2 linked regions of the Mus musculus genome follow. The protein of the gene in region 1 interacts with the protein of each later gene in a biochemical or structural test. Links are inferred from orthologs where the notes say so. Each region holds a gene or a part of one and is shown on either strand. Other genes may lie near its edges.

Evidence for each region.
Region 2: the proteins of Chm (region 1) and Rab7 are reported together in a solved structure, tested with the Homo sapiens proteins (2 studies listed by BioGRID, with this or other methods). The link is inferred for Mus musculus from reciprocal best matches to the Homo sapiens genes CHM and RAB7A.

What each region holds. Positions count from the first base shown.
Region 1 is NC_000086.7:113,108,737-113,112,556, reverse strand, and holds part of Chm (rab proteins geranylgeranyltransferase component A 1), read left to right. Parts: coding exon 1-8; intron 9-507; coding exon 508-628; intron 629-2,155; coding exon 2,156-2,381; intron 2,382-3,820. UniProt on the Homo sapiens protein: Substrate-binding subunit of the Rab geranylgeranyltransferase (GGTase) complex.
Region 2 is NC_000072.6:88,042,323-88,046,693, forward strand, and holds the start of Rab7 (ras-related protein Rab-7a), read right to left. Parts: upstream 2,949-4,371; 5' UTR 2,751-2,948; intron 2,696-2,750; exon of another isoform or gene 2,615-2,695; intron 1-2,614.

The sequences.
Region 1 (3,820 bases):
TGGAACAGGTACTGTGCTGCTCAACTCTCTGAGACAAGTTACTATTACTCATGTTGGAAGGATAAGCAACACTTACTATTTCCTAGTAAGGCTGAGTTTCAACTTTGCATGGTGGTTTATAAATCTAAATACAAAATGAGCCCCATTAAAACTTCTGTTTTGTTTTTGAACATTTATTCCTCAGGTTGATTTTAATGTTGAGGAAATGCTAGTTTCAGTCAGCAGTACCATATTTGAATTGTCATTTCTTTGCTATTAGGGGTGACGTGCCATTGCCCTTTTAAAGGCATGAAGAACAACTTGGCAGAATTAAGTAACAGAGCTCTCAAGTTAATTATCTCTGTAGTTAAGAGAGATGCTATTAGAAGTGATGAAAGGTGACATGAAGCAGCGAGAATGGAATGGAAATGATAACCTTGTAATGAGGAAAGGACTAAAACGTGGAATCCTGGAATACTTGTGTCAATAGGAAGTACTTTGAAACCTTCACTTTCAAATGCCTTTCAGGTCCCCTGTTCCAGAGCAGATGTCTTCAATAGCAAACAACTTACTATGGTAGAAAAGCGAATGCTTATGAAATTTCTTACATTTTGTGTGGAATATGAAGACCATCCCGATGAGTACAAAGGTATTGCTTTCCATTAACTTGTATTTTCTGATTATTAGAGATTGTAATTTTAATATGCTTCCTCAGGTTGGAAAACAACTGATTATTCTAAAATGCATTTTAACTCCTAGATCTAGTAAGCTATAGAAGCAGGCTATTTGAATTCATTTAAATGAAATACTGAAGAAATTTGTTCCTCAGTCATGCTAGACATATTTCAAGTACTTAGTACCTCTATGTAGGTAGTAGCTATAATGCAAATATTTTCAACATTGCAAGAATGTCATGCCATCTCCCCTTTATAATTTTTTAAAAATTAAATACTGTTAACTGATTATTTAATCATTATATGTATGGCACTAGTAATTGAAGTGAAGACTTGGCTCATGATATAGTATATTACTTGATTCTTGATATGACATGCCTTTTTTGTTATTTAACCTTTAATATGTTGTTGTTTTGTTACTACTACTACTACTATTACTACTACTATAGTAATAACTTGCTAGATGTCATTTTTCTAGACTGCTTTTACTTGGAAAATTGAGCTATTCATTTGATTGACATAAGTGCTGTGTCATGTATAGGGAAACCTCCAGATCTAGAGAAGCTGAGGTTTGTCTTCTTACTGTATTCTTAAGGCCAGCCATTTTAGCTTGTTCAAAATTGATTTCATTATTTTATTGTCAGCTATTTTCTAAGTACATTGGGATGGAAATATTGTGCAAACTTAAAGTACTTTGTTGATAATATATAAAATTACATTGAGAATTACATCATGATTTGTTTTGATGGAATTATGAGATTCTAATTCTTGCTATTATAGCTTTAAGGCAGTGAATACCAGCTTTTTCTTTGCAGTACCTGGACTTAGAGACTCTCAGGAAGTTCGTTTCTATCATTTAATATTTCCATAAAGGCCTGTTTTCTGGCACAGGACTGGGTCCTCCCACTAGTTTTACTTGTTCTCTCTTACTAACAGAAAGGATTAATTAGTTTGATAGGTCTTCCTTATTATTTGATGTGTGATTGTCAGTATGTTAGATTCTAGCAGCCACAGACATATTAGTTTCATTAATTTAGTAAAACTTTTTATCCTACGTTTGATGAACGAAAGTATGATGCAAAATGTAACAAAAGTGACATTTTTATTAATGTATTTTATCACTTCATTCCATTTTATCTTTAATATTTTTAGATATAAATGTTGACATTACTGTATAGTTTAAATGCTAATGAATTGAGGTTATTGGCATCCACAGAAACACATTGAGTTATTTAATACCTCCGTGGATTTTCACATCAATAAATTACTAAATAAAGATTCATTGTTTAAAGCTTTAAAAACTATTATTGATTCATTTAGGATAGTGGAGTTATTTCATATTTTGTCCTTAAGACCAATAAATAGTTCATTTCCAAACTGTAGTAATAAGGACAACTTGTGTCCTGTTTGAAATCTTTAACAGGCCTGGCTCTAGTAATGTAGGGTGCTTTTAAATAGATATTAAACTTGATTTTAATCGATAAATTTTCATCTTTTCATAGCATACGAGGAAACTACATTTTCTGAATACTTAAAAACTCAAAAATTAACCCCCAACCTACAATATTTTGTCCTGCACTCAATTGCAATGACATCAGAGACAACAAGCAGTACTGTAGATGGTCTCAAAGCTACTAAAAAGTTTCTTCAGTGTCTTGGGCGGTATGGCAACACTCCATTTCTGTTTCCTTTATATGGCCAAGGAGAACTTCCACAGTGTTTTTGCAGGTAAGTTATGATTTATATCTTCTAAAAGAGTTGTATGGAAAACATAACATGAAAATAAGACAGAAGGGAGCTGGGTAATGTATCCCTGTAATCCTACCATGTGGTGTGAAGACCGCTCTTGGCTACATAGCATGTTGAGGCTAGGCTGAGTTATTGACGCTCCTATCTTAAAATAAGTCCGGTGAAGAGTGAGTATATGCACACATAGTTCATTTTATTTTTTGTAAGTGATTTAATGTTTACTTCTCCATCTAAGTGGTATATCCAATTTAGCCTGATTTTGAACCTAAAATATTATATATTACTGTGTGTGTATGTATATGTATATATGTTCTGTTTCCTCTAATATTTAACTTTCACGTGGTTGATTAGTTCCTTGTGTTAGTTCTGTGGATTCATTTTAGCGTCATATTTTCTTTTGGAGTGCTTCCTTTGACCTGAGCACTCGGAATTTTAGATACTTTATATTGCTGGAATTACTTGGTTTTGTCAAGGTACTGCACACTTGAGGTGTTCGTATTTCCTTTCCAGTACCTTCACTTAGGTATAGACCCCAGTATATAGCTCCATAGTAATACTGGCACAAAACATTTGAACACATTATTGTTTTGTCCAAGTGCTTATTGCTTGAAGCTTTGATTTCAACCCTAGTCTTGTATGTGTTTGAGGGGTTCTTTCCTTCAGTATCAATGGAAGCATGTATTCTCACACTTATATCTCCTAAGTCCTTCAGTGTAAGAATGGAAGTAGCTAATTTCTGAATATTATAGGTCTCTTTCTTCCTTCTGAATAGGGAAAAAAGATAGAGATGAATGACAGAGTGTTGGATCCTTAAGACCATAGTTCGTCGCATCAATTGAAATTACAGAGGGACTTGAGATCCTCCTAAGTCTGCCTCTTTAGCATATCCTACTGGCGTGTGCCACCCTGATTATATTTAGGAATATATATATGTATATACAAACACTTATATGCATTCCGTAACAGTTAGTAAAAAAAAAAAAAAAATTAAGGCCATGAATTTGAAGGAGAATGAGAAGAGGTGCATAGGAGGGCTTGGACGGAGGAAAAGGAAAGGAGAAACATATTAAATATAATCTCAAAAATAAAAAAAAATAAAGGTTAAAAAATAGGGAAATTCTTCCAAAAATCATAATTCAACACCATTCAGACCTCTAAACAGTTAACAATAATTTCTATCACCAATATTCAGTTGGTGTCTATGATGGTTTGTATATACTTGGACCAGGGAGTGGCACTACTAGAAAGTGTGGCCCTGTTGGAATAGGTGTGTCACTGTGGGTTTAAGCTTTAAGACCCTCATCCTAGCTGCCTGGAATCCAGTATTCTGCTAGCAGCCTTCAGATGAAGATTTAGAACTCTCAGTTGCTCCTGCACCATGCCTGCCTAGACACTGCCATGCTCCCGCCTTGATGATT
Region 2 (4,371 bases), on another chromosome or scaffold:
GTAACAGCATAGCCAATGCTCAAACTTCCTTGCCTCATTTGGTGGTGGAGCCAGAAACTGATTCACAACTCCTTTCGTACAAGGACAGCTCTTACAGGGTTAGGATCTCTGAATATGAACCACAACTGACACCAAAAAAAAAAAAGAAGGCAACCAGGAAAGTCACCATGTGGTTGTCAGCAGTCACCTGGAAGACTTCACTAATAAAGCTATTTTTAGAGCGCATGCCAGTTCCACCCTCCTTCCTTTACTCCTGAGGTTCTACCTTCAGTGTAAAACCTGGGCCCCTGAATGGAGGGAACCAGAGAGCCATGGCAAGCAGAGGACACAGGGCTTCTCCAGCATGCATCACTAAGTCTAGCAGAGCGACAGTAAGCTTTCTTGTCAGCTAAAAAGGAAAACCCATCCTCTGCTCCCACATGACAGTGCACTGGACGAAGTGGCATCTAATTCCCTTTGAGAGAGGGCAAAAAATATCATACAACAAAAAGGGAATCACGTTTAGTGCTGGTGGTTACTCTTTAAAAGAGGTGATCAGACTATCACCAGACTATGGCCCTCTCTTACAGGAGCAAACCTAATGCTGACAGAGATGGGGGCTGAGGTTGGCTCAGTTGTCGGACAGACAAGTGTAAGGACCTGAGTACAGATCCCAGGACCCACATTTAAATCAAGAAAAAGAAAAGGAGAGGCAGGCAGATTTCTGAGTTCGAGGCCAGCCTGGTCTACAGAGTGAGTTCCAGGACAGCCAGGACTACACAGAGAAACCCTGTCTAGAAAAACCAAAAAAACAAACAAACAAACAAACAAACAACCCAAAAATGAAGGAAAAAGAAAAAGGGTAGGTTCAGAGGCATCTGCAACACCCTCGGGCACGTGCATGCGTGTGTGCACGTGTGTGCATGCGTGTGTGCACGTGTGCGCATGCGTGCACTCACTGGCTAGCCTGCTAGCAGTGGATAGGCTCCAGGGTCAGGGAAGAGACCCTGTCTTCAAAAAGTAAATAATTAAAAATTAAAAAGGCGAGCAGTAAAGTAAGACACCCAATACCCACCTCAGGCCCACACAGATGCACATGTGCATGCATACACAACACACAAAGAGTTGGCAAATATTTCAAGTAGTTAGCCAGAACAATACACATCTGGATATCTGATTCACCTGAGGGAATAAAATAAAATAAAAACTACTTTTTGCAGAAGCCTCCGATTCTTTCTACATCCGAGTCATTCCTTCCTAAACAGCTCCTGGCTCTGAGACTCATCATTTTACAATTCTCTGAGGACACAACCCAGCCATGCCTTCTTCCCTGAGTCAGGACCCAGTAATGCCTGACACACATGTGGAAGAAAAACATCTCCCAAATGAAGGTGCCAGCCACTTGTCTTCTCCAGCCTCTGCTCACACATGACAGTGCACTGGACGAAGTGGCATCTAATTCCCCTCGAGGGAGGACAAAAATATCATACAACAAAAAGGGAATCACGTTTAGCGATTCCTCTTCTAAACTCATTACATAGGTTTACAGCCCGTAAGTATACCAGGCCGGGTAGCAAACTAAACTATTGACAACCAAGGACACCAAACTTTAGTCTGGCCAGCTTCAGAAGTAGTTATAATTCACTTTCCAGTTCTTACACTCAATTCTGATCCAATATTACCAAGATCGAAGAGAAATATGCCAACAAGAGATTTTATTAACTCAATCATGTGGGTATCAGTTGCTGAAGTCACAAGAAAGAGACAAGAGTTTATTCTTTGGAAAACCAAAAACACAAGATTTTCAACGGTGAAGAGTCAACAGGTTAGGTTGTTGTAGAAATTCTTGTAGAAAGGTGCACACAGTAGGCATGCCAGACCTGACTCAAGGAAAAGAGCTGGCTAAGAAACCTATTCAAATCCAATACATACCTTGCCAGAATTCAAGATCTTCTGGTTTGATGACACTACACTACCTTATATGCCTTGTAATATGCCTTGTAAGTCACAAGTACAAATACAACATGGCTTTAAGGTAGGACTAAGAGGCTCTCAAATGACATCACTAGACAGGAGGTGGAGGGGGGTGCTGATGGCAGATAACAGGTGGCAGGCTTTGGGGGCATCTAAAGTACAAGAGGCCAGAGGCCAGTAAGTGCTAAGTAGTCTAGCTGCCTATGTTTCAACCTCTCACTCTGAAATTTATCAGCGGTGTGACCTTGGTCGAGTGCCTTAGCCTCTCTGTTCTTCGCTTTCTCTGTAAGTAGGCACTGCCTCGGTGCTTCGGAGGGGCTGTTGGGAGAACAGGGCAATTTGTGCGGTCTTGCCACGCAGCCCAGCAGCCGAGAAATCTCAAATCTTCACAACCTTACTCTCAACATCGGCACGATTATGAGCCAGGAGGACATCAGGCCATTTGAAAGGCACTCGGGAGGTCCTTCTTCCCGGAACTTCGGAAACGGGATTTACCCTGCAGGACCCTGAAAGCTCCTGTCTCCCAGTGCCGGCGGCGGGCCGGGGCATGTGACGCGCCTGGCAGCACTGCCTCGGTGGCCGGCCGGCCGGTAGCTCTTCCCACCCAGCAGGTTGCCGGTGGGGACGCGCCCAGCCCGAGGATCCCGTACCCGCCACCCACCGATCGCCGATCGCCCTCCGCCCGCCGGGCGCCGCCCCGCCTGGCCCGGCCCAGCTCGGCGCTCGGCTCGCCGAGGACGCCAGGCCCGGAGGCCCAAGCGGCGGCGGGGGAAGGGCGGCCGGGGCCCGCTGCTCACCGCAGGGTCAACGGAGGAGGAGACACAACGCAGGCCGCAACAGAGACGTCCGATTCCGGCTCCAGCAGGCTCCTCGGAGCTGCCCGGCCCCAAACACCGCCGCCAACGCCGCCGCCTTGGGCTTTATGGTCAAAGCTCCGGCCTTGCTTCCACTTCCGCCACCGCCGCCGCCCCGAGCGGAAGTGTCTGTCACGAGACGCCCGACGCCAGGGTTGGAGGGAGGAGCCCCACCTCCACCTTGCGTCACGTTCCGGTCGCGTCAGGCCCTAGCCTGGCATCTGGGGCTTAAATATGGCCGTTTCTAGATGGGGGCTGCCATCTTTGAAGGCTGTGCAGAAGCTGGAGCGCACCATATTGGGCCAAGAACTGATAATGCAGTGGTGTCCCCCCCCCTCATCCCACCCCGCTCCTATAAACAGAGCTAAAGGAGGGAGAGTCACTTGGTCTTTCCAGAGTGTCCCCCTCTGGAACACGCTAGTCAGTCAGCCATGTATCAGGCAGGGTATAGTCTAGGGTCTTCTGAGTCCACTGGGTACAATCTCTAATGTGGATGGAAATGATCAGTTACAGTGTCCCCAGTGTTGGAGACCCAGTGATGAAATAGGAGCTACCTGTGCAGGGCAGATGGTTCAGGAAAATGGAAAGAGAGCTAAGGAGTTGCTGAACTGAAGAGACATGAGGCTGATTTTAGTGTCACGCCCACCAAAACTAAAACAAAGGCCTAATCCATCAAAGTCCATATCTTTCTGGGGAAGTCTCAAAATGTACTAACCTTGCTTTTTAGCTTCTGTAGTTCTGTTTATGGCTGACAGTTCTTGTTAACTGAAGTATGTCAACCCAGAACATGTTTTTTTGTGTGCTTAAAAGCTCACCCTGAGAAAGACTCAGGTTGTCCTGGGGTATTGAACACCCAGTGCAGTAACCAGCTGCCATTTCTTAGCTTAAACCCATATCTGAGTAGTCTTTTCTGGTGAATACCCCACAACACTAGTACATGTTCTAGCATATAAGGAATAGAGAAGGTTTGTAGGTCCTAAGGAATAGGGGAAAACAAGACCTTTCTGCCAAGATCCTCACCATTTGATATAATAGACACACACACAGGAGTTTGCTCAGTTTCAATCATTAGTTAATTATTACTTGGCCATTTGACTGAATACTTTGAAACTAAGATATGAACAAAGGAAGTCTATGTATATTCATATGCAAAGTGAAATCTTCAAGAAATATGAAGTGACAAAGTAGGGTGCAAAGATGTATATGTGACAGTTCTTGGTTCTTGTTGGGGAAAAAAAAAACACATACTTGCTGGGTACAAATTTCAGCAACTAGTTATCTGGGTTATCTATTAAAATTTGACCGGATAGTAGGACCCATATGAATCTGGTGGTCCAGTCAGACTTTCCACAGTTGTAGGGATGCAGGAAGCTGGTTCAGGCCCTGTCTCTCTACCTCATGTTGGATATAGCATCAGCCTCCACATGGCAGATAGACCAGCAGTTTGGAAGCAAAGCTGCATGTGGCTAAGAGCAGTGATACACTAGACCCAAGGAGGAAAGTGGGAGACAACTATGAGGCCCAACAGGAACTGTGTCTGCTTTTCATCTCTTCTGACTTTAGT